4 linked regions of the Drosophila melanogaster genome follow. The protein of the gene in region 2 interacts with the protein of the main gene of each other region in a pairwise test. Each region holds a gene or a part of one and is shown on either strand. Other genes may lie near its edges.

What was found.
Region 1: the proteins of Abcd3 (region 2) and Obp57c interact in a two-hybrid assay, tested with the Drosophila melanogaster proteins (one large-scale study listed by BioGRID).
Region 3: the proteins of Abcd3 (region 2) and CG15212 interact in a two-hybrid assay, tested with the Drosophila melanogaster proteins (one large-scale study listed by BioGRID).
Region 4: the proteins of Abcd3 (region 2) and Bet1 interact in a two-hybrid assay, tested with the Drosophila melanogaster proteins (one large-scale study listed by BioGRID).

The regions. Positions count from the first base shown.
Region 1 is NT_033778.4:20,499,584-20,507,372, reverse strand, and holds Obp57c (Odorant-binding protein 57c), read right to left. Parts: upstream 3,790-7,789; 5' UTR 3,707-3,789; coding exon 3,653-3,706; intron 3,591-3,652; coding exon 3,195-3,590; 3' UTR 3,171-3,194; downstream 1-3,170. Other genes in the region: Obp57a (Odorant-binding protein 57a), read right to left, coding at 1,644-2,090, 2,142-2,204; Obp57b (Odorant-binding protein 57b), read right to left, coding at 2,619-2,981, 3,045-3,107. UniProt on the Drosophila melanogaster protein: Present in the aqueous fluid surrounding olfactory sensory dendrites and are thought to aid in the capture and transport of hydrophobic odorants into and through this fluid.
Region 2 is NC_004354.4:19,746,975-19,756,618, reverse strand, and holds the start of Abcd3 (ATP binding cassette subfamily D member 3), read right to left. Parts: upstream 5,850-9,644; 5' UTR 5,482-5,849; exon of another isoform or gene 5,272-5,481; 5' UTR 5,186-5,271; coding exon 5,073-5,185; intron 1,749-5,072; exon of another isoform or gene 1,316-1,748; coding exon of another isoform or gene 1,275-1,315; intron 190-1,274; coding exon 77-189; intron 8-76; coding exon 1-7. Other genes in the region: Alr (augmenter of liver regeneration), read right to left, coding at 6,768-6,930, 6,990-7,231, 7,311-7,706; parvin, read right to left, coding at 8,749-9,369, 9,537-9,644.
Region 3 is NT_037436.4:5,127,118-5,134,783, reverse strand, and holds CG15212 (uncharacterized protein), read right to left. Parts: upstream 3,240-7,666; 5' UTR 3,181-3,239; coding exon 3,163-3,180; intron 3,025-3,162; coding exon 2,851-3,024; 3' UTR 2,657-2,850; downstream 1-2,656. Other genes in the region: Yod1 deubiquitinase, read right to left, coding at 1-393; CG15213 (uncharacterized protein), read left to right, coding at 1,639-1,656, 1,716-1,886; CG4597 (uncharacterized protein), read right to left, coding at 4,544-5,161, 5,218-5,277.
Region 4 is NT_037436.4:19,259,473-19,267,705, forward strand, and holds Bet1 (blocked early in transport 1), read left to right. Parts: upstream 1-1,921; 5' UTR 1,922-2,183; intron 2,184-2,240; 5' UTR 2,241-2,277; coding exon 2,278-2,631; 3' UTR 2,632-2,965; downstream 2,966-8,233. Other genes in the region: nes (nessy), read right to left, coding at 1-96, 643-751; Max, read right to left, coding at 3,404-3,546, 3,612-3,735, 3,945-4,052, 4,368-4,433, 4,509-4,553; CG42374 (uncharacterized protein), read left to right, coding at 5,025-5,150, 5,209-5,472; Mettl5 (methyltransferase like 5), read left to right, coding at 5,484-5,971, 7,122-7,275; CG45081 (uncharacterized protein), read left to right, coding at 6,607-6,885; Aldh7A1 (aldehyde dehydrogenase 7 family member A1), read right to left, coding at 7,365-8,233.

The sequences.
Region 1 (7,789 bases), on a different chromosome or scaffold from region 2:
GAAGCAACAGAAAGTGTAGCGTGGCATAAGCTGAAGGCAGGGAGGAAGGTAGTATAAGTTTTCCTCGCTCTTCTTTCCTGTCCTTTTTTTTTCACTGCGCTGCTTCACGCCAAGCACTTTATTGGCAGTTGCTGAAGTATGCAGCACAGTGTAAGTTTGCCCGTTGAATTTAATTTCTGGCATGTGTGCTGGGGGTTGTGGGTATGATTAGATTGCTTTTGCTCTCAACTTTAAGCAGCAACTGCTATTGATAGGATCAAAAATATATGAAAAAGAAATGTATCTTTTTGGAAACTTAACATTGCATGAAAAGTTTGGTTTTTTAAGTTTTTATATGTCTAAAAAAAAAACTATTTAATTTAAAAAAGTCGGTAACAATACTTATTTTAAATGGTAAATTATAAAGACAAACATTCTGATCCCATTCGAAGCTTTCCACTCGTTGTATTACCACTATTTATATGTTATACTCGAGCTCTGGGATGTTGAGTTCCATTTCCACTTAATTTAAAGTATTTTCTTATGTTTTTATCAATACAAAATTCTACCAAATATTTTCACGTGTTCCCACCATCGACGCAAAAACTCATTGGCCTGCGGGGTGAACCATTTTCGCCTTTTTTCATCCTTGTCGGCTGCAGGAGCAGGCAAACGTTTTGCGTATGTTTATCCGAACTTCCGTCGATTTACCAAATTATAATTGCACTCACCCATCGAGAGGTGGGAATTTGTGGCGGTATATGGGGTGGCATTTTTTGGGGCGCAGTGCTCGGTACGTTTACAATGCACTTCCGCCCCATTGTTGTTTTGCATGTTGACATGGTGCAGGCAGCACCGCCATCGAGGCAGCCGGACATATTACTCATACGCCGTGTTGGCGCTGCCTCGGTTGTTGGGAGTGTGCGTGTTGACAATCATGTATTCGCTGGTTTTTCTGTTCTACGCTTTATTTTCTCTCTTTTTTTCTGTATCGCCGTGCTGTTGCCACTAATGTGCCACGCCCCTCGGCGGCGGGCGTTAAGTTGAGCTGACAATCGAAAGGCGAGAGGTGGCAGAGCGGACCAGTCAAGTGTGTGGGCGTTGCACGCTCGTCTTTTCTTTCAGCCGATGCCTAGCCCTGATCCCGATCCCCGAAGCCTCAGCTCCACGAAATAACAATGGCAGCGGCATCAACAGCAGCTGCAACAATGCAACATGACAACTTCCGTTGCATTCGCCTGCCGGCACAAAGGAAAGCGACAAAAAGTCGCACACAAATAAACACTCATACGCCCCGTGGAAAACTGTAACGGAATCGCATTGTGTGTGGGGAAAATGTTTTTTCCTGCTCGGGAACGACAAAAAATCACACACACACACACACACACAAATCGGAGGCAGGTCCTGAGAAATATGGAAAGATTCTATTCACGGCATCAGATTGTAGGAATTTACCTGATTTGCAACGAATCAATTATTATTGTTATGTGTTAACCTGCTGCGTGATTCCAGGTCAAAGCAATTAATTGGATTCCATTCGGATCGGTTTGATTTAATTCAAGCGCCCTGCGGCACGCCTCGTGCAATTTTAATTAATTATGCTAATAAGCCCGCAAATTAAAATGATTATATATTACTGTGACTATGGCGACATTGTTTTGATTTTATAAATCGATGGTATCGTAATCAAACAGATCCGCCTGCTGTTCAGCTATTAGTCCAGCGGTTTCCTCTTGTATTTGTTCATATGAATCGAACTTGATGACTGAATGTCCGGATTTGAATGCACATATTACCAATTTATAGACGTAGGCACAGGTTTCTTGGGGAGCCTTCTCCATGCACTTTGATATGGATACCGCTGTCTCACTGGTTGCTTTCATTGATTTCAGATCGACTTCACCCCGAGCATTTAGCCATTTGGTTGGCTCTCTTTCCAGTTGACACTTAATGTTGCACTTGTGCTTCAGTTCGACATTTTCCTTGAGGACATTATCCAAATTGTCGGTATCGTCAAACTTCTCATACTCTTCAATGGTAATATTATTGATTCTCAGACAATCAATAAAATCGTCATAGGTTCCTTCGAAAAAGTCAAAGGGTTGGCTTTCCTAAAATGTATTTATTTGTAAATCAAATATATTTTAGTTCGTGTATCTAACCTTAGCTTGGCTAAGCGAAACAACGATAAGAAGCAAAAAAATGGCAAGTCTAGTGTTGAACATTGTTAACTTCAGACTGAACAGCTTAAAATCAATTTTCCACTTATTTAACACAATTGCCATTGAGTTGATAGACCTGTTATTCAGAATAGTGCCTGAGTATTTTTAATTTCATGAGATTGTAAATCAATCATTGGTAGGGTCATAAGCTAAGCGTCTATATTTTCCCTCGGTTTTATGTACCCATAATTTAAGATCATTTGATTTATGCGACAACTTTTTGTTACACTTAAAATTAATTACTCGTTTCGAATAAGCTCTAATAAAAATTACGTGGCACGCCTATTTGACTGGTGTTAAGTACATACTAGATCTACAATCTCTACAAATCACTCGTTTGAAATAGTAAAACTTATGTGAGTTATGTGTGGAAATTGTAGTACTTTGATTGTTTCCATATATTTAAATTATTGACATTTATTCCGAATCAATTACGGGATGGCCAGCCTTAAATGCACACATCACCAGTCTAAAACTGTACGCACAAAGTTCTTCGGGAGCCTTCTCCATGCACTTGGTAATGGATTTGGATGCCTTATCGGTCGTATTCATCAAATCCAAATCCATTCTGCCTTGAGCATTCAACCATTTCGTTGAATCCCTTTCCAGCTGACATTTAATATTGCACTTGTACCTCAAGTCGACTTTCTCGTTGAGCAGGTAATCCAAAGTTTCGTGTCGCGCGTATTTCTCATATTCTCCTATGGTAATATTATTAACTTGTAGACACTCCTGAAAGTCTTGCCAATTCCAATGAAATATATCAAAGGGGTGGCGAGCCTATATATTGTAGTTTGTTGAAAATAAATCAAAAGCTTAGTCAAATATAAATATCAATCCCACCTTGGCCAAGCTGAACAATAACAAAATCAGAGGCGCAATAAATACAAGTCTGTAGATGAACATTGTAGAAATGAAACTAAACAGTTGCTTGTGAATTTCCCGCTGGCATAAAACAATTGCGATTAAGTTGCTTGACCAGTTTTAGACCGATTATTCGTTTAATTTGTTTGTATTTTTACCCGCTTCGGTGACCTCATCGCTCTGCTCGAAGCTTTCAGTTAGACAAGTCACCATCTTAAACGCATATTCGCAATGATCTTCTTCCTCATCGTAGATTTTCTTGCAATCGTAGAGTATCTCTCGCAGTTCATCGCTCACGGGCTCAATTTGATCAATTTTATCCACATCCAAATAGCCATTGGTATCCAAAAGATTTCCCTTCTCCGCTAGGCAATGGATGAAGCATTTGTATCTTCTGTCGGTATTCTCGAGGTCATCCTCTTCGGAGCTGTTGCGATCGATGAGTTCCTGGAATTCAGCCTGGCTGATGTTATTGCTGGCCAGGCAATCTGACACGTAATTGGTTTCCTCCAGAAGTGAGAGACTCTATAATAAAAACCATACTTTCCAATTAACTGCCATATGAAACAGACCTCAGATGTGATTACCTGTATGGAGACCACGCTGACAGTCAAGATACATATTAGCCATAGCTTAAGCATTATCTAACGATTCGCAGAATCTGTTTCAAGATAAATATGGACATGGGTTTTCCTAGCACAGTAGCACCTCACGATAAACTGTTACTCGCAGAAAGGCGGTTCTGAATTTTATACACACTGGCTTGTGGCTAATTTATGGCGTCTAGCTTATCTGTATCTAGTTAGCTAGTTAATTGCGATCAACTGGTTACTGTACACAATATGAGCCAGTTGGAAGTACGATCTGTCGTGCATTTAATTGAGTCTCAAAACTCGGAACTGAATCAGCTTGCATTGAGCTCGAATCCAATGATTGATTTTCATTGGCAATTATATACTCTTACAATTTTTAAAGGCCGGCCACCAAAGCTTTTCCGGCAAAACTAAACACACACACTGTGCAAAGTTGCACGTAAATTTCATTTTATACGCAGTGAAATTCGCATAACATTTCCTGTCAACATATTTTGCAACACTTTTGTTGCAAAAATGAAGCGACAACTGCAGCGGCAGGAGCAACACAAAGCGACAAATTGCGTTGACAGTGGGTGGAAAAGGGGGTTTTAGTTTGGAATGGTTTGGTTTGGTTTGACTACAGTTTTTTTTTTTTTTTTTTTTTTTTTTGGAGAAAAGACATTCCTAACTATGCAACCCCATGCAACTGTAGACAACAAATGAAAATTCCAAGAATATTCACATTCGCAGTGAGTTTTGGCTTTTGCGGCCGGGACTTTGTCTGCTCTTTTCCAGCGACCTCCTGCTCCGCCAAACCGCTTGTCGCGTTGTTTACTTTGGTTATTTACGGCCTGAACAATTTTTTTCTTATTTTTGCCCTCTTTCTTTTCACGCTGCATACTTTGGACGGTTGCCAAAAAGGAAATATGTGTTGGGGAAAATTACAAATTTTTATGGTCATAGCTAGGTGCTAAACTGTGTCCTCGGCTGACCCAGCCTGTCGCTTCTAGTCCTGTCAAGTCCTGCTGCATAATTGCGATGCCATTTTGCCTATTTCTCAGCCCATCAATTTTTGAGGTTTTATGAAAATTTGGCATTTTCGCGAAACACGATATCGCTGTTATGGGTTTATTAGGGCGAAATTTGATTTCGTTGGACGCTAATTAGTCCTATGAAATGTTTCTGGGTCGATAAGCAGTAGGCATAATTCACAGGTCGACATGCACAATGGAAATGTGAAATAATGCGGATGTTCGAATCGAAATCAGATTTAATGGATTTCATAAATTTGGCATTATTTCTGCCTAATGGTAATTGAATATCAAACTTTTTGAAATTTAATGAGCCCACGCAAAAATTATAAGTATTGAACCTTCACTTCAGTAAAGTTTCAATGAAGGTTAACAAGAAAAAACTCTGACTTTCCTCTGACAGCTACTGCCATTTATTAAACATGTCAGGGGGAGCTGGTGTAGTTTTCTTTCCCTATTTTTCCCTCTTTTTCAGCTGTTGCCGCTGATACCTTTCCGGAAAAGTTGCCACAACAAAAGGAGAACTAGTAAAAAAAAAATATGTGTAAAAAGTTCTGGCTGCTTTGCGTAATAAAAATAAATAGTAAGTGACTTCAATATGCATGTCACGTATTTTGCATGCACTTTGATGCCACGCCCACCCCAACAAAAGCCCGCCCAAATACATTTTGGCACGTGCAGCAACACAATGGAATTTCTGGAAAAATGCGTAAAATGTTAAGGGATGTCGGTGGCGTAGCCATTGCATAACCGAAGCATCTTCTGCAACTGAGCCGAGACTTTGACTTCGCCAAGAAATTGCAACAAATTAATGAACGAACCAGAATCCCGCAGCTTGCCAACGACAATGACCAGGTTTCCCACGTTCGTTTCAGTATAGAGAACCACTAAGTAGTATACATTTATCAATTAGTTCGAAATGGAGAGCAGCATAGTCAGCTGCCAAGTTCATAGCATTGCCAGTTAGGTGCCGTTCTCGACGAAACCACTGGGGTGTGAATCGCTTCTCCAAGACAAACAAAGTCCGGGAAGTGGGTTCACATCCTGGAAGATGCAAGGGCCACGCAGCAAAAGGAGCAGAGGAGCAAAGGAGCTCCGCGCTCGAGACAGCTGCATCTTTGGCCAGCGGCAAAGCGAAGTGAAAAGCGGAGCAGAGCAAGGCAAACCCACTTCCCCGGCGGTAATTACAAAATTTTTAATTAAATGTTAAGCGTGGGATGGACGACTTTAAGCGCTCATAACCGAGAATGGGCACGCCGCGGAGCTTTAATTCGCAGTCCCGGTGGCGACAATGAATACGGCTTGACTCCCAGATGAGTACTGTTTATGTCGGACTTTCGCCAGTTTTTCACAGCTCTCGGTGAGATTTGCACGGCTCACTGCATTCGGTGGCAATTTTCCCACCCAAGCAAATGAACCTACACGTGATATAGTTCATGAGATCCATATAGTATGTTAAATAAAGAAAGCCGTTTTATTAGAGAATCCTGTGCTAAGAAATTGTTTTTAAATTAATATAATATTAACATAAATATATTAATATGAAATAGATGGTATATTGACTTTAAACTGCAATTCATTTTTAAATATTTTTCTGTAGTCTTGCTTCTGTTGCGCTGCTAGTATTTTTTACAACTTTCATTATTCCAATTCCATTTCCCGCTAACAAAAGGGTGCCAAATCTTCGTATATAAATTGAAGGTCCAATTTTTTTTTGGCAGCAATCTGGGGGCTTAAAGTTGGAGCTTAGAGCTAGCTCGTGTGCGAATAGTTTTGGCGTATTTTCAGAGGATGCGAAGGGCGAATGGAAGAGAAAGCGTTTGGCTAACTAAAAATAAACCGAGTGTTAAACGTGGCTTACACACTGGCCATTTTTATTGCCAGGCTGGTCCGTCAGCCGTGAATAATCGCATTAGTTGTGAAATTAAAAATTACAAAATAGAATAGATAAATCCGCCCACGGCTGGCTGGTTGACTATCTAGCTGGCTTGAGGTAAGCCTTTTGTTGGCCCAAAGGCAGAACTATTAACTGACCCCCTTCTCCGTTGTGTGCCACATACACATAAATTCGATTAAAACGTCCTTTTTTATGTTTGTGAGCGTGTGTGTCCATGGACTTACTGCTAATTGAATTGCCGAGTCGAAAGAGAATTAGTTAAGCCAGTTTGAGGGTTAATGTGCTGGAAGTGACCCCCGATGTATCCAACGGGGTCAAGGGTGGGTTGCCGACTTTTTTAAGGGGGCGGAGAGCTCATTATTCTCGAGCAGGTTACCATATCCCTTTGAACTGACAACCTGGGGCACTTACGTATGGTTTTTTTTGTTGCCTACTTTTCAGGGCGGACGCCTCAGCTTTTGAGCCAATGTCCTTGAGGAATGTTCAATTGTATATAAATATCTTTGCAATGGTGGTGTTCCTTTACGCTATGCATATTTTATTCACAGCCGTTGACCAAGATGTCACAATTGTGATGACGTCAATGCCAAGTCCTGGTGTAAATTTAAATCCAATCTCATGGCAACGAAGAGGCAATGCCGGCAAAAAGATGAAGAGAAAATGAAGAAGTGAAATCAATTTCTTTTGTGTGTCGTTTGAAAGGCTTCAAATGATTTTCAATTGTTGCTGCATTGACAATTCACCAAATCGAAGTAGTATATTTTTCTCTCCACTCAATAAATACAAGGATATTGACTTTGTCCGTACGAGCTTCATAATCGGATTTTCGTGTTAAATGATTCTATTCCATGGCTTTTATGCGCCTTGCGCTGCCATTGGGTTCAACTTCGACTGCACGGGTTCAATAAACATTCGCACAGGTGACTGCCTGCATTGTGTATTAAATTCCAACACTTAACCCCCTTGACTGCAACTGTCTGCCGAGTTCGCTGGCATGGGTTAAACAGCACTAGACGGCGACTCATTACTTGAGTGCTAAAATGGGTGACTGCTTTTGCTGCTGTTGCTGCTGCTGCCTTTTTGTGGCAATTTTTGAGTGCGCTTTCTACAGTTTTTAACTTGAAACAACAACAGTGAGTCAAGTCCTTCTCATGGTCCTCGTCATTTTTCTTCCACTCGCTTCCTGCTCCCCGCATCCTCGATCCCCGAGCCATGCTGCTC
Region 2 (9,644 bases):
AGGATGGCTGCAAGGGAAGGGAAGGTTGCACGTGATCCGAGAGACTGCTAAAGGATCTCTATGAGGATCTACTTACGGAGTAGCTGGCGGAGCTGTTTGAAGAATACTGAGTTAACGTGCGCCTTTCCCGCCTTCTTATCCTTCTTCTCGGCAATTGTGTACTGGATCTTGTCCTCATAGCCGGGTTTTCTGCAATGAAGATAGCATATTAAAAGTGTTTGTAACTAAGCTATATGTCGTTTGAAGCAATAAAATATGAGAGAAATTAATAACTCTATTAGTTGGCCGTATTTACAAAGGTTCTTTCTGTTTGCCCTCTATAGATATATAGATATAATAATACATATGTTTGATCTTTGTGGATGGCAGACAATTGGACTGCTCAAAATCTCCATTGAGTGCTAATGGATTTGGGTTATGGCTCAATAAACTTAATAATAAATTAAAACTCGTACAGCAGTTATGAAAAATGTTGATAAGAGGAGTGGTCTTATCATTCCAAAACTGTTTTTAGCCAACGATGTTGTGCAGTTTCGATCATTGGCCAGGCAAATGTGCAACGTTGATGGCAAATTTATGAAATAAATCACAATAATTAAACTCCCTGTTTGGATAGCCAATTTGAATAGCAACCTTTGCCTTTTTATAGCAAGTCGCGCTATCATCGGCGCCGCAAATAAAGAACGAACTTCGTGTTTAGTGTCTCCATAAAGTCGCTTATTTGCAATGAAGGTGTGCGATTAAATCCAACAATTAAGACGCCGGGATGAGCCATGACTTTTCACACCACCGCACTTCATTAGGTTGGTTAATGACAAATAGATAAATACAAAAAAATAAAAAAACGACTCGATCATCGTTCGTACTTTTTACAATCCGGTAAATTATTCACATGAAGCCTGCTAAATTTTGCGTGCGTTAACAAATCGTCACTCTAAATATTCGATTCGTTTGATAAACAAACATTTAGCCCGTCTATGCAGCAATACTGCAAGCGAAGTCGCTGTGAGCAAAGTACTCAATATTGTGCAGATATATGTAGAAACTTTTCCAAACAAGATGCCATGGAATCGATCAATAAATCAGTTGGCTAACTTTTTAAGTCCACCATTTAACGTGCGTAATTCACAAAATGTTTCGACTAATTAGCCGATCGATAAGTTTTATCAATTAAAACGATTATAATTTCCAAAAAAAAAAAAAAACATAAAATATTTATTTTAGATTGCATGGAAATTCGGCTAAATAGTTTAACTATCTCAAACATTACTCACAAGCTATGGGCTTTCGTTATCACTTTTGCTTGAGCGTACATTAAAAAAAAAGCACATTTCCCCAAATTTGCTACATGAAATGCTTCCGAGATAATTTGTTTGAATTCTTTTCAGCTGCTAATCGTTGTGGGATCAAGGTCCGGATGAAAACCGGTGCCCAGAGCTGACCAGCTCAACACAAGCCACTGGGCCATTGGCTAACCGGCATTGGATCGCCAATCGGATCGGATCGGATCGGATCGGATCGTATCGTATCGAATCGGATGGAGTCCAAAATCGCCACCTGCCCAGGGTTCGAAGTCTATGGGATAATGTGGGTGATGAGATGTGAGGTGCTGGTGTTGCTGGTGCTGGTGCTGGTGCTGGTGCTGGTGCTACTGGTATGTTAGGCCAAACAAAGTACAAAGCTCGCGCCTTGGTTATCTGCAGGCTGGAAAAAGCGACGAGTCGTGATGACTTGGTTATTTCTTAAATATCGCTGCGCAGATCACTGAATTATTCATAGCGCTCTTGTATTTATTTCTATATATATATATATATATATATATATATATGTTTCCATCTATCTATCTTTCAATCCGTCTGTGTGTCTGGCTGTCTCTCGTGTGGTTTTCCTTTTTTGATTCGTAGTATATTAAACTTGTTTTCACCGCCTAGACGTGGAACATGTGTTTGGGTCCATAGGTCAACACCGGTGGCTCCCATTGCCATACCCATACCCATTCCCATTCCCATTCCCATTCCGAAATCGCCTGCCCCTGCGATTCATCCAAAGCTCTCTTTCGCTAATCGCCGGCGATCGCCTAATGGGGGGCACATTGAACCCGGGCGCGAGAAGATCGGTTGGCGTCTGACTCAGATAGAGACATTGCCGCGGATTGCAATCAAAGTTCAGTGGTTCTTGTGCCGCATAGCAGCCGCTATCGAGCTAGTTTGTCTGATAAACGCTGGCCAAAATCAGATAGCTCGACACAGCTCGGGCATACTCATCACCTGTTGCCTTGGCTGTTACCTGTAGACCTCAAGACCCGTAGTCAGTCTGCCGGCACTCACACGCTCACTCCACTCCGCTTGCGATGTCTCAGAAGTGAGAGCGAGTGAGCAAGTGAGCGAGCGAGTAAGTGAGTGAGTGAGTGAGTGAGTAAGTGAGTGAGCGGTAGGCAGGCAGGCAGACAGACAGACATACAGGCCTTGGCAACGTGGCATCCGCAACAGGTGCAAATGTCAGAGCTCGGCTGCGAATCTGCATTGAAATTACGATCTCATTTCACGCACCGTCCGAGTAAAGGCGAGAATTATACAAATTACACGATAAATGGCTGCCTTGCGGGGCAATCCGATTATCGAGGGCCAAGCGTTTCCCGGGCACAAGGTCTCTCCATCCATCCGACTCTTCCACTTCCCCATCCGAAAGTCTGGAGCGCGCACAGCCACACAAGCTATTGCGCAACAGCCGGCGGGACGGGCCGGGCGATACAGAATGTGTCTACCTGCGAAAAACAGAGCAAGTTGTACACAAATTAACACCTATACCCCATTACCCATTACCCATCTCGAAGGCAAAGAGCTGGGAATGGGAACGGGAATGCGAATGGAAATGGAAATGGAAAAATGAAACCAGAAGCCACTGGTCCTCTGCGCTTCTCTCCATCCAATGTTGTGGATGGCACGACGCAAGTCATTAAAAGGCACGGCTGTAATGTTTATGCTTTATACCCGGGTGTCATCATGTCATCCATGGAATGGGTGTGTGTGTGTGTGGGTATGGGTACGGACTTGGGTCCGGGTAAGGGGTACAATCGAGTGTTGTTGCAACACCAAAAGCAAACTGCCCACCGGTGGTTGCGTGTTCGATTGCAAGGCAGGCTGCTGGATGTCAAGTCAAAGTGTTTGGACCTTTGGACTAATGAGCTTGGGTGTGTTGTCCAATTGTCCAAACCCTTGATAGATTGCAAAGACATTATTGGCGGTGCTACGAGCTAGCATAACCGTACCATATCAGTTAACAATTCTAGGGCCTGTCCTTGATATGAGGCTATAAAAAAAACACCGATAAAAAAGCGCCTTGAAAGTTGTGCAAGAGGCGTTGCTACTCGGAAACTCGTTGACACATTCGAAAAGTCCCTTTTAAACTTTCAACGTTCTTAATCATTCAGCGATTAGCTCTTGGACTTGAAAGTGAATCATAGAATGAATGAAATTAAATGAAATTATATGAAATGAACCACAAAATTCAACCACTGATTCATATGAAAGCATAATCGAAGTGGAGCTCCACTTGCGAAGCCCATTTGGTTGGTTGGACTGTGGAGTGTCCAGTCACTGCATCCATTGAACCGACTGCACCATCCACTGTGCAAAATTCGAACAATGGAATGGTGCATAAATTTAGCGGCCATCCACAAGTGGCGGCTACCTCGCTCGCAAAAGTTGCATAAAAAAGTAAACAGCGCATTAAAATGCTCGATTTCGATCGCCTGCCAAAGTGCAGTGCACTTCAGAGAAGTTGCTGAAAGTGATGGCCACCGGTTGGGTATCCAACATCGGAGTGCTCGGCATACTCCGAGTACTCGGAGTAATGTTAGCAATTAACGAGTGGCACATGCAGCCACGGCAGATCCCCCACAATCCCATGCGGATGGCTGGCTGGCTGGCTGGCTGGCAATGCAATCACCCACCCACTCCACTTGTCCGCCGCAATCTGTCTAATTAATTGGCTCTGTCATGCAAATAGTCGATTGCGCCCGCTTTACCCGTTCAGTTTATTCAATAAGATGAAATCGACTGATAGCGGTCAATTGCGCGCCGAACCCCGCACACATCGAATATGACCAAATATTGAGCGCGTTAACAACAGCATAATCGGCACGAGTGGCGATAGTGGAATGGGGCATATAGATGAAGTGCTGTAGACTGGCGCGTTGCCGATTAGATTAGCGGCAAAGACCAAGTCCATTCAAACACCGAAACGTGGCCCTTAACCGGGGAATCAAGTCCGCATCGCAGGTGCTCGATGGGGAAATCCTTGAAGCGATACCGCAATGAAGCAGGCCGCCAAGAAGTGGCTATTCGGGTCATAATAGTCGAGGGCGCCGAGAAGGCTTTCCTAATCGAGTTTGCTGTTTGGCCGGAAATGTAGTGCCTATCTGAGTCTACCTTCTGCTAAGTACGCGGAATTCCTCCATTCCTCCCAGACAATATATACATTCAGACCTATCCTAGATATCAGTATATCTACATAATAGGGATAGACTGCAAACAGATCCAGCTACTTTGGTTCACATCTACTTAAATGAATCGATGATCTGTTGACTTTTTTTTTGTATTGGGACTGCACTTAAAAATATCTTTTTGAGAATCTTCAAAACGTAAGCTGGTGGTCGCCAAACTTATTATAAGATTATGGCAATGGGTAACACAATTGAAAAGAACAGTATTTGGAGCTGCAAACGAACTGTCCGGCCCACTGTGCGCGGCTGCTGGACGAATCAATTGAAACCGGACTACAATGAGGGGGAAGTGCATACAGTGTGGCAGAAACGGCCATCGGAAAACCAGTTTTTGCAGTCCGCCAGATGACCCACAATAGTGGCATCGCATCGTATGTCCCGCAAACAAATCTGTTTGTACATAAATACACAGCGATCCAAAACTCAAGTCAATATCACGGACACATCGATGGCCAAGACCGAGACCTTGTGCAATAAGATGTTCGTAGAATATTGCATATTGCACAGGCAACATAAATAACATGGTTGAGCCACAATTATCCGTAATTAAGATCAAGGGGGGGCTTACCGCTTCTTGTTGGACATCTTTCCGTAGGCAATTATCCAGAGGGCCGCCGTCATGCCCGCCACGCCGACGATGGCGCTCTGGTTGTTGGCCAATTTGCTTAGAGCCGGGGCCATTCTGCTATTGCGATGTGGCTACGGATCTCGTTTGGCTTCAAATTGGGCACCTTGTGAATTTTACAATTCGCAATTTCGCGTTCGCACTTCAGTGTTCGATTAACCGCACGTGGGGGGAGGGGGTTTGCACAAGGAAAAAATTAAAAAAAAAAAATTATAATAAATAGTAAGTATGAAAGGGGAACAGACACTATTGTTTATTGCACGGATTTCAATATTTTAATCGGCTGTTTGATGACGACACAACACACAGACATGCACACACACACAGATGGTGGATAGCAGGATGTAAACACCTGGTTGTCGAACAGCCCTGTCTTAGCTTCGTCCTCTCTCGCTCGCACCCTCTCTCTCTTTCAGGGCAACTGCTTCTTCTTCTTCCTGTACTACAACTGGTGGTGGTGATGGTGCTGCTGCTTCTTCCTCCGCTGCTAGTGGCGCTCCTTTTCTGGCCAAAGGGGGTGGGCAAAGTGATTGTCACACACGGCGGGCGCTTTTATTTATTCAATTTGAGCCAGGCGCATTTCTTTGTTTGGTAATTACACTCTACTCAGCTCGACCAAATCGAGAAATCTGACGAAGTGATACGTGCGACGCGCAAAAGCCAGCAGGCAACTAACTGTAGTGCGATGTGCGCTAGTGTTGGCTACCACGACAATGTGCGGGCAGCGGCGCTGCGGGGGCAGCTATTTCGCCGCCAAATCTGGCTATTTCTGAACGAAGAGCTATCGAACAAGTTATCACCGATAATTATGAATCGAAAATATCGTTCATCTAAATTTGAGGTATTAAATATTTTAAATTAGCCAAATTTAAATTTCCCCGCTTAAACTACCTAAACTATTGCTGAGCAATCATGTTATATAAGTAAATCATATAATGGCTTACTCTTACGAAAATTCCACTAATTTTTATATCTCTTATGTTAAGCATATTAAAATGTTAAATGAATAAAATGTTAATGTTTCGTTGATTGCAAAAAAAAATTAAGTTAAATATTAAAAAATATAACCAGAGCAGACAAATTTTAAGACCTTTAGTCCTTTAGGTATTATAGAAAGGAAATCTAAAAACTATATAAGTATCAGCCAAATCCCCTAATTTCGAACCAACTAAGCATTGTATTCCAACTCCGCTTTAGATCTTTCCACTCCCATCTTATCGAAGTGGAAAGCATTTGCCTTCCCCATTCTAATCTAATAAACGCCAGTCGGCAGATTAGAGATTGCGATATCTGCAGGGCCAGTGAGAAGGCATAATACGGGTCCTCAACATAATGTGTATATTCTAATGGAGTTCATAGCCAGCAAATCATTTAACAATGGACCTTCGATGTGTCGCTCTATTACAACATAACTCAATTTAATGTCACGCTGACGCAGGTTCCGACTGGTGGGCATGGCCTCTGGCCAGAAACAGGGCACAGTTTCGGGTTGGCGGCGGTACACCGCCGAGCAGGAGTCCCGTGTTCCGTGGTTGTAGTTGTGGGCCAGCCGAGCAAAATGTGGGACAAAGTCTGGTCAACATGGCAACCTGCAACGGGCGGGAGACGGGGCTTCTCGGCGCTGGTTAGCTGCGGCGCCTAGTCGCAGGAGCCGTCTAGCCAGCCGTCGCGCCACCTCTCGTTCACCTTGGTGCAATCGAAGAGCGGTTTGCCCAGTTTGTCGTTCACTCGGTTGTGGAACTTGCACAGCCACAGTGCTAGCTCCTTTTGGGAGTTCACATTGATGGGGTTGACGTCCAGGCTGCAACAGAGGTCCAGCTAAAGTGTCAGCGTTTTCAAATGGATTGAAGATGCACTTACTCGGTGCGAAAGTCCTTGGCGCAAAACTCGCAGGGGTAAAGGCGCGACAGAACCTCAAAAAAGGTCTTCATGTCGCGCTTCTCGGTGTCCGTGGGGTTGTCCGAGTAAAAGGCGGCCATGGTGTGGAGCAGTCCCCAGGTGGAAATTCCCAGCCTCACCTTGTCCAGCGGGCAGTCGTCGCGGGGCAGCGGATCTTCGGCGGCGTTGACGGTCAGCTTTTCGGCGGCGGCCATGTGCTTCACCTGGAGGAGTATGAAAGTGGGAGATTCTTGTGTTATCGTCCTGCTTGCGAAGGCGAAGTGGCCAACGCGATCACGTCACCTTGGCGCTCTGCACGTTGGAGATGAGGCGTTGCTGCTTGGACCACGACTTGAAATCGTTGCAGGTGCGGCAGTTCGAGTCCTGTTTGCCGGCGCCGCTGGCACCGGCCTTGCGGTTCGCTGCGAATGGGGACTCGTGGTGCTCCTTATCCATCTCGGGATTCGCCTCGGCAGACATGATGAAGTCCGGGTCACGGATCAGGCGGAGAACGGTGCGCTGCAGACGGCGAATTACCAGGCGAGTTGCTTCCCGGCTGAGTTCGATGTGCGTGGGGCTGATGTAGTCGTAGCCGTAGTTGTGGGACTGGCGGCGCAGCAGAAGCGTTGGTGTGGTGGGTAGTTCTAGAATCTTGAAACTTCGCTCGGCTATTGTGAAAATCATAAAAAGCATGCGCATGGTTGCCACCTTGTTTCGAAACGAAACACATAACATTAGGACATATCTGGCTAAGCGGCTTAGTTAAGCGGCTGCAATCAACGCAAGTTACTAAATACTGGCTTTTAGATTCATGGCCAACATCTGGCCAAGGACCAAAATCCGGTCAGCAAAGTAACATTTTCAAATTATACCGGCCAGCAATCGAAAATCGATGCGAAATCGTTCCCGAACGGGAAGCGATCTGGCAGCCTGCTCGCAGCTGTGATCGATACCAGACCGTTGCGAGTTGCGCGCGCAACCGCGACAATTCAAATAGCACAGCGTTCAGAAAATTACTAAGGTTTGTTTCTCAATCAATTCGAGACGCTCGAAAGAACTTACATGTGAATAGGATGGAAGCTGGCGTTTGTGAGTGCTGCAGCCCCAGATAAATTTTGCGCCTTGGAACTGTTTAAAATAGAATAACACATATGCTATTGGCAATATTTATTGATTTTTCTGATCCAAATTTTTAACGTACACAATAAAATTTTTTTTTAAGACTTTTCCGTAAACTTCTACATTTACAGCGTTAAAATCTGATCTGTGACATAATTTGCAAAAGCTCTGTGTGATCTAAAGGCACAATCTCGGTTATTGTGTTCAAATAATGTATTAATACAATAAATTCACTTAGTAACAACTACAACGTCTGGCACGTGAGTAAGACAAGTTAACAACTGGCCGCCGGATTTTGGGTTTGGGTTAGCTCTGCTCTGCTCTGCTCCTTCCTGTTCCGAGCAATCTGAATCTGGAGCAGATCGCAGTGGTTAGACGTACGACACATAAATATATATATATATATATAAACATTCCTTGGGCTGATTATACGCGACGCAGCATTTAGTTGTGGTTTTGAGAGTTAGGATCAGTAAGCTTTAACCGCTGCATCGCCTACAATCAGTTTCGAGAACGCACATAAATTAGGCGTGTAAACACTATCAAAAAGTTAATATAAAATGTAAAATTGGCGCCGCTTGTTGCTCCTGCAACCCGCTGGCTCGTTCCATCCGGGTTTCACTCAGGCGAAGTCCCTGAACATGGTGAACAGGCTGTATAGGACGCGCAGGGTGGACTTGAGGTCCATGTTCACGATGTCCTCCGGCCGCGCCTTTGGTTTGGGCAGGCCCACGTCCTGCATCAGGTCGAAGGCGAAGGCCACGTTGCTGACCATCTGATCCACGTCCTGCGGCGTCAAATGGAACTCGTGCAGCGGCACAAAGAATCCACCGAGCAGGCCCATCAGCAGGCACAGGTATACGCCGTCGCGAAAGTCCGTGTTCAGATCGCTGATCTCAAAGTTCAGCTTGGCCAGGTGCTTGTTCACGAACGTGATCAAGGACTTCTTCACCACGGCCAGCTTGTCCGGCGCACAGTCGATCAGCGTGTCGAAGGCGTCCTTTTCGCAGCGCATGCCCAGGTCGTCGTACTCGGACGTTATCTGCTCCTGGAACTTCTGCGCGTTCAGCACGCCCGCATTCTTCTCCGCAATCACGACGGTCACGAACACGTTCTCTGGCAGGCGAACGGGCGCCCGGAAGTGACGCACCAGTGCCACCAGCAGATGTAATATGGCCACAATGTTCTTCGAGTGCACGCTGGCCACCGACCACTTGGGAATCTTTTGGTGAAAGCCGAGTGTCTGTGGGTGTGGGCAAGGATAAAATTTATTCTTATATCGCGAGAAAAGGGAATGTTAATTGTAAATCGAATAAAAATTATTCTATTCGACTTTAAGAATGGATAAATAATTAAATGTTGGTAACTCCGATTTTTAAATCCTGCAAAACATAAACTACTACTACTTACATGGTTGACGGCCTTCAGGACGATGTTGAGCTTCTCGTGCTGGCCCTGCTCTGACTGGGTGACCTCAGGAACGTCCAGCTTCTTGCCGGTGAGCTTCTCCCACAGCTT
Region 3 (7,666 bases), on a different chromosome or scaffold from region 2:
GTAGTCTGCTGCCTGGGCGACTGGACCGCCAGCGGTTTCCTGCAGCAGCTGTGCCTCCTCCTCGGCCTGCAGACGACGCGCCAGCGCCTCGTCATCCTCCACGGTGGTGCCGCCAGGCACAGGGGCAGCAGGAGCAGGGGCAGCCTTCTCCTCCACAATCAGCGTCTCTCCGCTGTTGATTCCGACCGCCTTGAGGGCGCGCTGCTCCTGCTGCTGCGAGAGATCCAATGGCTTGGGCGGATAGCCTACTAGGACGTGCAATTGCGTCGCTTCGATGTCGGTGGCCTGGACTATTTTCGTTTTCAGCTCCCCCAGCGTCGTATGCTCGTTCAGGTCGTTGACAATGAATTGACCTTTTTTGGACTTGAGCTTCACACTGAACGAACCCGTCATTGTATCCGTTTGTTCTCTTCGTGTGGGCCTGCGATGGAAATTGGGCTAATTTTGAGTTGGTTTTTGTGTGCAATTGGATAACTGATAAATTTTGTAATTTGACTAATTTGTTTCTTTTTTTTTATTTGTTTGTTACAGCGTATCGATGCTATCGAATTTCGATATCTGTTGGTATTTTTTGTGCTTTAATATATAATTATAATCGATTAGTGCAGTGAGTAATGTTGTTGGCGAGGCCAATCGATTTTTTGTTCTCTTGCAAACTTTTTGATAAGAGTGGCAGCACTGGAAAATTGGCGCTATTTATTTAAATTTTCAAAAGTGGGAAAATCAAAGAGGAGATTTATGTATTTTCCTCTTTTCTACTCCATTTTGTAAATCTTGATTGATAATTATGGAAAGCAAATCTTAATTAAAATGTAAACACATTTAATTATAAGAATAAAATTACTTCGATTTTACAGATTTTAGCTTGGATGTGAAATATTTAGAAATTTACAAATAACTCTACATTCGACTTTTAATTTACTCAATGCAGCTAATTTCGAAAAGTTGGCAGGTCGGCATTTTCAAACCGCCTGCTTAAATTTAAATCTCAAAATCTTATCAATTTTGCGCAATGGGTTATTCGCCGTCTGCCAGCATACACACTTAAAAATATAACTATATTCGGATAATTCAGCTACTCTAGCCTATTATGGAGGTGTGAACGAAAAGCTAATGGCTGATCTGAACGTTAAGGCCAATGTCAAGTTGCTAATTAATATTTAGCAGAGATTCCGCTCGCAGCTAATGGCCAAGTCAAATAGAACCCAGAACCAAGGAAACACCGATTAGCAAAAAGAAGTGAAGCCGGAGAAACCGCAAGTCAACAAATTGCCCAAACATAAGGCGTCGCAAGTTCAACAATGGCACCACAATAAGGTAATCTACTTGGCTACGAAAAAGGGAACCTGGCTTTTGTTATCACATTGCGTGTTGGACTAAAATCACTTTTAATAGTCCAAACAGATTGATATACCACCCCGCCCGCCGACATGTGAATCACTGAATCTTTGGCTGATGCTTCGCGTTGTTTTAGTTTCTATGAAAGACGAGCGGTCTGCCGGCCGAGCAACTCACTCTCAACTGAACAGGCATATAAATAGACGGGTCGGCGGGGTCTGGTGATCAGTGCAAGCAGGTCTGTCAACGCGCAGTGCGAATCCATCGATCGATTACTACATACATCTAGCCACATACAACATGAAGTTCTTGCTCCTGGTGCGTCACTAAAAATCGACACGGAATACCAAGGAACTTTACTGACCCTTCCTTTACAGAGCGTCTTCCTTTGCCTTGCCGTGTGCTTCATGGCCACCAGTGCTGCTCCTCGCGAGGAGGCCATTCCCGATGGCTTCGAAGGTCCTGGCAGTGAGTCCGTCAACCCATCCGACGACCAATCCTTCCTGCTCAAGCTGAAGCTGCTCAAGAAGCTGCTGTTCCTGGGCTAGACACCACACCCTCACATTTATGGATTTATAGTTTAACTTAACATGTGTTTAGGTTTTTAAGAAGAAAAACAAGAGTGAAATTAAAGAAAGTATTTGGTAACGAAACCTTTACTTATTCATTTTTTATTGCAAGGTTAAAACAAAATGGTGCCCAAAAAAAAAACAAGTTCGCTTCTTAAGTCTTTTGTTTGAAGAGGTCCAACCTTCAATTCCAAATAATTTTCTTTTTTTACGATCACATTAAAATCATTCCTAATACTACTAATACACCTGAATGTTAAAATTTATGGTAAGTTGAAAGGCTGGAACCATGTGCTTCAACTTGATGGCAATCATGTCCGATTTTTCGTGACCAGCTCTCAATATGTCAATATGTGATGAGTTATCGTTACTTTTTACATAATTTTGATACTTGAAAATATTTAATATATTATATTTAGTTAAGCTATAATATTACTGGCATATCAAGTTAACTAATCATGCCAATTAATGAAAGTAGGTATGATCATTAATCTCACAGTGGGCTCCTTGTATTAGCACATCATTGAACCCACTTGATTCATTTACGACTGAGATTGGCCAATATTTATACGCATGTAAGGAAGATTCCGTTCGCTTTTCACACTCTCTACCCAGAAACGATCCGAAACGGGTTTCTTATTCAGATCTAGGCAAACAAAAACCCGACCCGCTGCCAGTCATTAGCTCCTTTTTGGACACACATGGAGATCTCATCCCCGACGCTTCGATGATATAAGAAAAGCCGACGTGTATGAAAATAACATTTATTTTAGTTACGATTACGTATACTTTACTCGTATGTATGTGCTTTTGTGTGTGTTTGTGTGTTTGTGCTTATTGGGTATTGTCTAAACAAAACGGTTTGAAAATCGAATGTAGTGGGGGAGGCAAGGTTCCCAATTGGCTGGACTAGAATCTGAACGAAGCTTATTGCGAATTTCTCCTAACCCAGGAGCTTCTTCAACTTGAGCAGCTTCTTCAGCTTGAAGATGGCCTGCGGATCCTGGGGACGCTGGACATCGTCGAAGGCAGGCTGGTAGATATTATCGCCGATCAGGGACTCATCCACGGGCACGGCAGAAATGAGGGCGATGGCCATAAGGCACACGAAAATGGTCTGAAAAATGTGAATTACAATAGATTTTTAGTACAAATTGAAAATTTAATATACTTCAACAAACAACTTCATATGTTGCACTTAATTGGAAATCATTTAATCCAATTATTAATCCAAATGTTATATCCAAATACTCACCAGAGCTAGGTACTTCATGATTGCTGCTGCTGGGGAGATGATTACGCTGATTAATCCAAATATCGACTGCACATGGCTCCATCTGGCATCAGGCCTTTTTATAGCCAAACTTTTGGGTGACCATCGATGATAATGTCATGTGTAAACTGCAGTTTGCAATGAAGAAGAGGACAAATGAACGATACATAAACAAAAGAGTCTCGCATAAATAAGACGGTAAGCGAAAAAGAAGTATAAACAGAAAAACCTGGCCAAAAGCAGACGATTCAAGGGGCGTGGCATGTTGAGGCAGGTGCTTTGTTTTTTTTTTTTTTCGGGCCAATTTTTTCGGCAGCGGGACCGAGCAGCAAAACCAGGCTGCCCTGTTTACTTGGTGGTGGCATCTTTTGTTTGCTTCGCTAAGCCACTGAAGAAGTTGATCGTTGATTAAATAATAATCAGACTGGGTAAATGAAGACATCGACAAATGAAGGTCACCTCAAATGCGGTCAGCGGAGTAATATTTAAACAAAACCCGGAAGAAGGCGGAAATTGTAATGCCAGGCAGTTTAATTGCTAATTCAGTGTATCTAGAGCCCCTCGATCACCCAATTCAAATGGTAAGTTAATCTGAAGTTCAAGATCCAATGATCGAATGATCAGTGGTCAAGCCAATTAAAATATAAATTATCACTTGAGCAGAGGATCCATAAATATTTGACACTTTGAACAGCTGTCAGGCCTGTAGAGTGGAATACTAAATCAATAAAAGTTAAGCTAAACGACGGAACCATTTTGGGCTGGGCGATGGTATAAAAACCAACATATGATTGGTACGGAGGCCAAGTGTTTTTTTTGCCCAGTCATCGTGCAAGTATTGATGATGCTGACGACGATCTTGCAGCTGAAAACCGGAAACATTCGCCCTGCTCTAAATATGTAAATAACGAACTTTCGAGAATGCCGCCACAATGTCAACGCAGCTCAAAAAAACATTCCACAGTTTGTACTCCACAAAAACAAATACGTGTCGAATGGATATCACAAACAAAGTTTACCATGACAACAAATTAAAAGATTGGATTGAATGGATATCTTTGAGTTAGTCTTTGTCGTCGGCTTGTCTCGCGCGGTTTAAATTCATGTTTGATATATTTCCCATGCCCCTGGGTTTTTTAATTAACATTTATGGGCGTGGCTGTAACATGTGCGATATGTCTCAATCCCGGCGAATTTTTAGTGGGAGATAATAAATTTTATTACGCACCCGAAACTCGGTGATAGATGGTACTATTTTGCAGAAAATGTGTAAAAATTGTTTTTTTGGGTGAAAAAATTTAGCAAAAAAGGGAGAGGCTCCATGTATAATATATTTGAAAAAATTTAAGTTACAAAAATTACATTATTCGTAATCGTTTGATACTTCCGAACTATCCTCTTTCGACTGAGTAACCTCTGTACTTGCTTCTTCGGTTTTCTCTACTGGCTTCTCAGTCGCTTTATTTTCCTCGCTATTTTTAAACAGCGATGGTTCCGTGTATCCAGGTGGTGTCTTAATGGAAAACTTGATTCTGCATGAAATCAGCTTCATAACTTCCTCGTAGACTTGTATCAGCTCAAAAAGTACCATGTATCTGCCATCGGGAATGCGGAAAGGAACCAGTTTGGAATCAATAACGCCATTCTCAACAAAATAGAAGCCTGGAACCAAAGGACATGAGACAACAAAAGTCGAGGGCAAAAGGCTTTCGCCCGGAATTTCCTCCACTGTAATATTGCGAAGTGAATCGAGGAGCTTGCAGAGATCCTTGTTCGTCATGCGAATCAGATCGAAGTAGTTCGAACCACCAACTTGATCTGACAGCTTCCTTACGAAAATGTGGATGAGAAGCTTGCCAGGAAAGGGCACTTGAACTGTGAGATTCACATTGATTTTCTCATAGTCGACAATGTCATACTCCGCGAACATATCATCTGGTACAAAAGATTTGACATAAAAGTGCTCAAGCCGCAGTCTGATCTGCTTAAGAAGTAGTACTTTATGTATTAAAATTATGGTTTATTTAAATAACTCACACTGTGCACTTGAAGAGCTCCTAAACATGAAAATAAAGCTAAACTTTGCAGAGGCCACATTGTTTAATGCTCGGATGATTGGATTCATTCAAAATAACTGACCGAAAATTGCCGACATTTGGTAACTGGGAAATTAGCTTGTTTAGTCAGGCCACGTTAACTGGACTAATGACATTGTTTCAGCCCGATTCTTATCTATCAAAGCCCCAGCTCTATGAGCAAACGGTGCGAATGCGTAATGTGGTAGGTACACCCACATGTTAACACGGCGTATGCGCAATGAACAAACTTACAGCGTTAAATATTTTCAAATCAACTTTGTGATGAGTGTTTACCAACTAGTTGCTGATATACGAGTCTAACTTGGCGAACTTAACGTCGCATCTATCAAGACGATAACCATAAAACCTGATCCCAGTTGCGAATTCGGTGGCCAACTGATGAACTTGAACCAAAAAGCATGAACGGGTAACTACTGGGAAAAACAGCAAAAGTTTACCATGTAAACGGGCATAAATTGTGCCGCCGGAAAGCAAGGCGAACAAAAGTCTCGGATAAATCATACCAAACAAAATGTATGTATGCCAGTGGACCATAAATTTCGAGCATTTTTATTGCAATTTGCTTGTTTGTACCAAAAACAAGTGCAAACAGTGCCAACAACAACACAACAACAACAACAACAACAACGTAAAGCCGAAAGGCTGCCTTAAGCCGCAAACTACAGTGAAAGTGACGTAATGCGATGCTACCAACAACAATAGCTGGCTAAAAAAAAAAAATATGTATAAAAACCATTAAACAACGACAACAAAGTACAGAGAAAAGCAACTGAGCAAACGGTCAGCAAAAAAAAAATGTCAATGTCTTTTACAACGAAGAAGCAGCAGTAGCAACAACAACATCACCAGTTGACCAAATGGTAAGGGGGTGTGAAGGGGATGGTCTTGGGCGGCTTAAAGGGGGTGTACATAGTGGATAAAGGGGGAACAGAGATAGCAAACATGGCGCAAAAAGTGTACTTTGTTTGCATATGTCTGACCTTTTGCATCGCACTCGGCACGTGTTGCGACTATCGAAAGAGGGCAGGTGACTAAAACGAAAGGAAAATTTAAGTGCTCACAGGTGGGTATAACAAATGTTATTGGGTCTTACCAAAAAACGTTTAAATATTAAAAAAAATATATATATTTATTTAAATTTTAATAGAATTGCATTGAACTGTATCACGATCGCATCTCTAATGCAAAGTCGCATCGCATATAAAAAAATGCACATGCATCGGATGTCGGCTTACATTTTATTTACCTCTCTGCTTTATCGTTTTCTTCGCCATACGTATACTTTATGCGTTAAGCGTTTTTTTTTTGTTTTTATCGTCTGAAATTTACAATTCAATGTCATGCCGGCTATATTGTGGTTGCTTCGTCCATATTGCCAAATTGAGGCAAAATGAAGAAGAAGTTGCTGCTGCTGCTGCACCAGAAGATCAGCAAGATCATTTTAATGCAGAACCGGTTGGTTCGGTCACTCCTCATCGAGGTATATAGATTCCCCCCTCTGTCCAACAAACCACGCAGACAATGCAGGCCCAATGTAAAATTAAGTGTGTAACGCGACCTTGAAACTCCGACTCCAGCCCAAAAACCACAAATGCAATTGCTGGTCATCTTGGGCTCTACGACCATTCATGTATTATTTATGTATGCATGTGGGACCCATCGGGTTTTATGTACTGCGCCGCTCAGCCCGATAATAATTGTTATTGCCCTCATGCATCGTGAATTTGGTGGCCAGGGGGTGGGGCGGGATATCATTAACAGTCTAGGCCACAGCCATCCAGATATCTGTGTAAACGATGGCCGGGACAAAGTCTGGGGTTTCCGCTTTATATCATCGTTTAATAATCACTGGATACTACGTGACGTCGATAGCAAGTCCACCCTTTTTGGTCATAACTTGGATACTTGGGATCTAGAAAAGGGTTTCTTGGAAAAGGGTTTCTTGGAAAATGCATAAAAGTTAATGTGCTGGAAATGTAGCAAAGTAAGGAGTAATACATAACACCAGCATAATTCTTATGTATATAATATATAAATATGTATATATTTAAATATATAGTTAATTAGAGAACAGAGTTTCTTTATCACCTACAATAGATTCTTGGAAAACAAAATAGTTGGAACCATCTTGAGCCACAGCAATAATACTAAAACTAATGCTAGCCTAAGATATCTAGGTTTATGCAGTAGTGCGGATAATAAACATATAAATAACTCGGAGGTTAAGTTCATTGTTTATTGATGAACGTGTAAGTGATTTTCATGCTCAGCGAGGGTTGCTCGACATGTATGCCAAACTCATTGCTTAAAAACAAAAGCTATACTGGTTGAATAATTAGTGAATTTCTTACTCTTCCTATCTAGTTTTTATAAATATTTAAAAAATA
Region 4 (8,233 bases), on a different chromosome or scaffold from region 2:
ACAATCCAGCGCCGCATCCAGCAAAGAACATGTGATGCACTGTTTTATCGGCAATAACAGAAATAAATTTTTGATATAATGCTGCCACCGGATAACCTGAAACAAATTATATACATTAGTTGGATTGATTTAGCAATACAAAGTTTAAATCATGTAGTAAACATTTTCAACTAATTTGGAAGCTTCAACGATTCTTTCACGTTTAGTTAACGTTTTTGCATAGCCTGACTGTAATCAAATTCCTATCTAATAGGAATGAGTCACATTTTTATGGAATTTTGGGAGTCATGGTAAAATTTTAAAGGGGTTTGTAATTTATTTAGGAACATTGTTAAGCATTAAATCTTATTGTTACTAAGCAGTTTGTGAAAAAGTTCATTTAACGATACATTTCAATTAAAACCATGCAAGTTGTATATGACCACTGACAAAAAAAAAATCAAAAATAACACAGTCTTCAATGATAGGTACATAATTTATAAACACCTGTGCAAACATATGTATAACGTATATGTGCAATGAATTTGCGTGATATGCGGATATAAATATCCGGAGAAAATATCTTAACTTAATCACTTGACTTTAAGATACTTCGAGTATTCAGTGTCCCTACCAAAAAGCACTGCTGCTGGGGCATCTTACCTGCCAGAATGGTGAGTAGCAGCCGGAGTGCCTCCACGGGAACGCCCACTCCCGAGGCGATCCCGTCCATCAGGCCATTGTGGGGCAAGTCCTCCTCGAATTCCGCCATGCTAAATCTAGAAGAGAAAAGAGTTGCAGTGCTATCAGTGAACTCTACTCGCGTGATTCGGATTCGCTGGGTTATTGCGCTCCAGTCCTTATCACGCCGTAATTGTTGCTGTTGTCATTGGCGCATATTACGCAAACTGATTGTTTTTTGATCATCAAAGGAGTGCGTCAAGGGGCAAGGGGGAGGCTGATTAAGAAAAGAGGAAGAGCAACAGCAACAACAAACGAGTGCACTTGGTCAGGGTCAATGAAAATTCAAATGCAAAGGTCGCATTATCTCGGCGAACCAGTGAACTCGATAATGACGCACTTGCCACCGCACGAACTTGAATATTTTATGCTTATTGATTTCACGGCCAGTTGATGAAAGCGAGCGGGAGCAACAAAATCGAGAGCGGCATGCCAAATTATGGCCAAAATTACCTAAAGTTAAGTTACTAACACTGGAGCAGTGTGGCCGTAGGCGAGAGCACGGAAATTACCCGACTCTAACAGTAATAGGCACACGGATTAACCCACTGTTTCTAACATTTAAAAGTAGTACTTAGGATCCACATATAACCATATATGTTTTTACTATCTACTAAAAACATGCTTTATTTATATTTGATTAAATTTGTTTGCATATTAAAACGAACTGCTAATAACAGTATTTTATGCATTGTTATTAAATAATTCTTTGACATATTTTACATATGTCCCATATTTTTATGAATATATTTTATTTATTTTATTTGAAATAATTACAAATAATGTTTGAATTGCCTAATTACTATTTAATTAATATTAAACTAATATTGTTTTTGCATTATATATAATAAACTAATAATTCTTACACATAATATGTGTAATAATAACTGTACGTACCATATTTTAATGAACACCTAAATATAATACAAATTTTTTTTTAGCGGCGATGGTGAAACTGTGGAATTTTGAACATGGGGACGATTTTTATTTATTTATTTTTTAGTTATTTGGAGGTGAATTTTTGCCGACCGCCGACTGTCTCGTTGTCTGTCCCGATTTCCCTAATCAAATTTTTATGAAATCTTAAAACAATATATATATATATATATAGTAAGTTTTGGAAACTTATAGAAAGAACTTACGATATTAAAAGCGTATTGGCAAGCAATGGGTTAATTGAAAATCGTAATCTCTGCCACACGCATTGCTACGGAATAATTTTGCTACTCCGCTTTGGTCACACTGCTCGGCGACTAAAAATTGAATTGCATGAGAATTTAAAAAGTTTCGTTTAATAAGTAGAGGCATTAGTCAACCGATTCTGGAAATCACAACACGAGGTCAAGGGTCAATGCACAGTCAACCACAAAGGTTGAGCCAAGAAGCGTATATCCCAACAGCTGTTCTGCCGCTGGGTGAGATTACATGTTTACGTTTACGTGTCACTTCGAAAACTGAGATTTGTGAGCATTGTATTAATTTATAATTAATTAATTTCGTTAAATTCACCCGATCCGCAGCAATCCGGATGCCAAACTGGCACACTCGGGGAGCAGTATGCGCCGCAACAACTACCCGTACCAGCCCCTAAACCAGCACCCTTCAGGGCCCCATCCTGCGAGCCACGACGCCTTGGAGGCGGAAAACGAGCAGGCGGCGGAGGAGTTGAAGCAGAAGATCGGGGCCCTGAAGTCCCTCACCATCGATATAGGCAATGAGGTGCGCTACCAGGACAAGCTGCTGCGCGGCATCGACGACGACATGGACCGGACGAGTGGATTTCTGGGCAACGCGATGACGCGGGTGGTGCGACTGGCCAAACAGGGCGGTGGTGCTCGCCAAATGTGCTACATGTTCCTCTTCATCCTCGTCGTGTTCTTAATCCTCTGGATAACCCTAAAGTTTAAGTAGTTGTTGGTAATTTTATAAAATATATACCCACATATTTGTATGGTTTAGTGTAGTCGAAGGTTGTATTTGGTTCGGAATGCGGTTCACTTTTGGCTTAAAACCATAAAGTTAAATATATTTCTTAAGTTCAAACCAATATTAGAAAGACAGATACGTACGTTAAAGTTTTTTCAGCTCGTTCTTTATAGTTCTCGAGTAATAAGCAAAAGGAGATTCCAGATATAAATAAGGGAAGGTTCCAGTATCAAGTGATCAAATTACTTGCAAAAATTGCTGATTTTATTTAGCCCTAATCGCATAAAATGTCAATCCTTTTATCATTTATAAACTTCTTCAAAAGCAGCACTCATGTTACTCAATTGGTCCGTTATATTTTCCAATTTCCATAATAGAATTCATCAACAAGAAGCCCCTGTTTTTTTCTAAAAATATGTACTTACTAGTTTACTTTATTCTTTGCGCACAGAGTGACAATTTGTTGAAAGTAGAAAAGACGCACGCATACAAATTAAGGTCGATTGGGTGGGTTACATTTTGGGCTTACAGCTAATGATGATTATGATTATCGGACTTGTTACTGTTCTCATTTCCACATAATTTTAATTTTCACTTTAATTCGAATTTGGAACCGTTTCCTTCACAACTTTTCGAGGGCTATTGCTTTCGTATAACACAACTCAAAGTTGAACTAAATCCACGTAAGAATTCAGAATGTCGGTGAAAACGGAAGCCGGAACACGCCTGTAAGCAGCACTTTGGATTGGATCAGCGGCTATGCGTGGAAGGTCTTCATCTTTTTATTGCGTCTACTGAAGTCCTGGTCGAGGTCTTCGTCGTCGGCCTCCTCGCTGCCCACTTCCTCGTCGCTGAGAAATTCGCTGAACTGATCCCCATTTGAACTCTCCAGTGCTTGTACTGGAAAGTATATAAAGTATCTTAGCAGGAAGTTCATTAATAACCTGTAGTAGTTAGTTGCTCACTCTGCTTAGCTATTATGTTGTTTTGCCTCTTGATCTCTTCGATGTCTTTCTGGTTTTCACTGATCTTCCGCCTCATCGTCTGTATGCATTCGGTGGTCTTTTTCAGGATTTGAGCTCGACTCGCCTGTAACAAAAGATATGTATTATTAACTTATTACTACTTCTTATTAGCTTCATCACACAGGGTGTGGATTTTTTTAATATATTTTATGCGATTTGCTTAATTTGACAAGCAATAATGTAGTTTATTGTAAAACGAACTGGTATGGACTTATGGGATTTTCTTGGCAGAAAATGAGCCCGGCTGTGTCACCTGTTGCTCTTCTGGATTACCTTTTCGCCCTTGAGTGTGGGCACCGCCTCACGCAGGTTGGTGAAGCTCTCCTTGATGTGATCGCGCCGCCTTCGCTCCAAAGCGTTGTGGTGCGCCCGCTTTTCGGCCTTGAAACAAACATTAAAATTAGCATATAGGAAATTCCATCGTAAATACAGCAGAGTATGGAAATAATAACAAAAATGGAACAAAATGGTCTCAAAGCAATATGAACAGAAAGATAAGTTAGTAAATAGTAATATATAATATATTCAGTCCCTCTAAGATTATTTTCGATTACGAATCCTATTGCTGTGAACTCTGCTGTATCGTAATCACGATTCTGTAACAGCAACAACAACACGTGTGCGTTCTGTTTATCAACAAAAGGCAATGTGCGCAGTCGCTTTTTCCCACTCAGTTTATGCATGATGGATAGTCACCTGGGTGAAATTGGCGGTGTTTGTGTGTCGCGAGGATCCCAAGCCAGTGTCCGAGTCCCCGTCCTCCTAAAAAGTCGTTAATTTGGCATTAAAATCAATATTAAACACACGTATCAGTATTTTCCTCTACGCCTTGCTTACGTCACTTTCGATGTCTATGTCGCGGTCGTCGTCGCTCATACTCATGTTGCTTCACTTGTTTTGCACGGATTGCGCGCAAATTAATAGATATTTCCTAAGATTATTCCACTAAGTTGGTAAGTTTTTTGTTTTTTGTGATTATTCCAAATAAACATGTAATTTTGTTGTTGTCTGCTCACGTTGTAAGACTTGCAGAGTGACCAAATAGAGGAATGCTAATAATACTTCAAACTTAAGTGGCACCAAAAGGTCACCAATATTATTAATATTTGATTTGTATTAAATACAAATTATATATATATTAAGCACAAATTCAATATTCGCTTAACACTCTTGTTTGTTGCAGATTTTTTGTTTATTCGCACATTTGGTTCAGTTCGAATACCGCTACTATTTCCGCCACACTACAGTACTCGCCAGTGTGACCACACTGCTCGCAAAATGCCAAAGGCAGCGGCAGGAGCAGCAGTCTACAAGAAGTTTTTGATATAGTTCAGACTTTTACTAGTTTATTTGATGGCTTTTCCCACCACAAGTGCCCAGCAAGCCGAGACGAACCGCAAGATACTCGAAGAGATCCAGACGAAGAAGCAGTTGCTCGCGGGCGGGATCATAAACCTTGGTCTGAGTCCGCCGAACCAGGTGAGTTCGTTGGGAACATGCCGATCGGAAAATGTGTTTACCTGGTCTTCTATCGTAGATGCCCGCACCCCAGTTGCTGGGACAGCCGACGACAGTGAATCCAGACTTCCAGGCGGGCGTGGGCATTGCCACCAATGCCACATCCACCGCCCGCTCTGCATTTAATCCAACGAGCTCTACGACTTTGGGCTTCTTTATACCTCAGGATTCGTATTTTGGAAATAGCTTTATACCCGTGCTGCCTCGTCTGGAGCCGCTGCCGTCGCCTGCGACCACGCCCACTACTCCGAACGCTCCGCCCAGCCACAGTATCAGCAAATAGCCGGATCCACAATGGCCCGGTTGAAGCTGAGGAAACTGGAGGAGTACCTGCAGGGCGTTGACGGTTTCGAGCAGCCCAAGATCCTGTTGGAACAGTACCCCACTCCGCCGCACATAGCCGCGTGCATGGCTCATCACATGCAGTCGCAGCACGAGGACATCGAGGGAAAGCTGGTGGGAGATTTGGGCTGCGGCTGCGGAATGCTCAGCATTGCTTCCACTCTGCTGGGCGCCCAGCTCACGGTGGGCTTCGAACTGGACGGCGATGCCGTGGACACCTTTAGGGGCAATGTGGTGGAGATGGAGCTACCCAATGTTGACTGCGTGCGGGCGGATGTGCTGCAGCTGATCGGCAGCAAGTGGGAGAAGTCCTTTGACACGGTGCTGATGAATCCCCCATTCGGCACGAAACACAATGCCGGCATGGACATGCGGTTTCTGGAGGTGGCCCTACGGTTGGCCAACAGAGCAGTTTACTCCCTACACAAGACGTCAACACGGTAAGTCTGTATAAAATTGATTATAATCGATATTCGTAGAGGAAAACTTAAGTTTTCTTGCAAAGAATGTAACAGGTAGAGGGAAGCGATTTCCGCTTTACAAAGTATATTTTTAATTAGGATTACCAGCCGTGTATAACCAACGTTTTGAAAAAATCTTTTGATATAACTTATCTTATTTCCTTTACAATTTCTATCCATATCTAAACAAAATTTGGAATTCCTCTCTAGCAATCCCTCTAGATGAGCGGCGTATCTGATATTCGAAATCTTGGTTATACCATTCTCTCTTGTTTAATAGTGTAGATCTCTTGGTTAAACAGATACTCAAGTAGTATGCTTACTGGTCTATATATAGGTATATATTTTAAAATATATTGATACTCAATATTCGGCATATGAATGTACATATGCAGATTTATACTTTAAGAATATCTGCTGGTATAAACAGATGCGCAATCTTTTGTTATTGGCACAGTAAACAAGAGATACAATTGTACCCGCTTTTCGGTAAATGTGCTTCCTTACCGCTGTTTCTGCTTTTGTTGTTGTTTTGTTAAGAGCGCTGCTCACAACTATAAAACGCCGCAGAAACACCAACAAGTTACAGATAGCAACTAGAAGTCAGCAGCAAGATGATCCTCTCACGTAGCCTTCTAATCATCACTGTGGTGCTGGCGATTCTTCTGGCCCCCATGCCCACTGATGCGCAAATCCTGGGCAGCGGCCAATGCCGTCTCACCCCCATTCGAGTGTCCGCTGGCGGGACAGTGTGCGAGAGACTGTGCTTCCGAAGAGACTACCGCGGTCCGCCCAGCCTTTGCCGCCGCATTCCCAGAGATGCAGTGGTTCCTGTCTGCGGGGGTGGTTGCTGCCGCAGCGGTCCCAACTGCCTGCAGCTGCTTTACACATAAAGTATGTGGATAAGATGCAGCACGTTCCATCAATAGTTTAGATTTTAGTGAGAAATTATGGAAATTAAATATTTTAAAATATATATGCTACTCATATTAAAACGATGAGTTCTTTAATTAAAAGGGTATCTTATTATTCGACCCCTTCCTGTTTTTTATGGAAGAATAGCCAAGCCTAAACAACTGTGGAATAGTACATCAAAGCCAATTTAAATATCGATTTTAATTGTTCGCAGGTCGTACATTCAGAAAAAGGCACTGGAATGGGGCGCCCGCGGCTCAGTGGTCGCCGAACTCCGGTACAACATCGACGCCAGCTACAAGTTTCACAAGCAGAAGTCGAAGGATATTGAGGTGGACTTCTGGCGCTTTGAAATCGGCACGGAATAGGAAGAATTATATCAGTTGCATTTAGTTTTGGACATTATATGTAATAGTATTGTAAATTGTAGCACATTAAAATTGATCGTATGTGTTTTCTACTCCACATTGAAGACAACACCCTGGGCGCAGGCCAATTCTCCGGAGTGATTGACTGTAATGGTGGCCCGCTTGCAATACTGCTTCCAGGCATCGGATCCGGACTCGCGACCTCCTCCAGTGGCTTTTTCGCCTCCGAAAGCTCCACCAATCTCGGCGCCGTTGGTGGTGGTGTTGATGTTAACTATACCGCAATCGGAACCCTTGGCTCCAATCCACTTGAACGCCTGCCCGATGTTCTCCGTGAAAATGGCAGAGGATAAGCCCTGTTCCACCTCATTGTTCCATTCGATGGCCTGGTCCACGTTTTTGGCTTTGAGGATGTACACAATTGGTGCAAAGGTTTCGCGATGGACAACGCTGGCATCGTGCGGCAATCCAGTGATCACTGTGGGCTCTACGTAAAAACCATCCCGCTGGATGACATTACCTCCGAAGGCCACCGTTCCTCCTAAGGATTTCGCTTCCGCGATGGCCGCCTTGTAGTTCTCCACGTTTTGTTGCGTGTGCACGGGACCCACCAGAGTTTGAGCTTCGAGCTGGTGTCCAATCTTGGAAATTAGCTGCTTATATTTACCAACCAGCTCCTTTACGAACTGATCGTGCAGCTTTTCGTGGACAATAATCCTCCTGGTGGTGGTGCATCTTTGACCACTGGTGCCAATGCAGCCGAAAAGTGCGGCGTCCAGGGCCATCTTCACGTTGGCAGATTCATCGATGATTAGGGCATTATTGCCGCCTAGCTCGAGGATCACCTTGCCGAATCTGCGCTGCACTTCAACACCCACATCCCGACCAGTTTGGCAGCTGCCGGTGAAGGAAACGAGGTTAACTCTCTTATCAGCCACCAAGGTCTGACCAACATCGG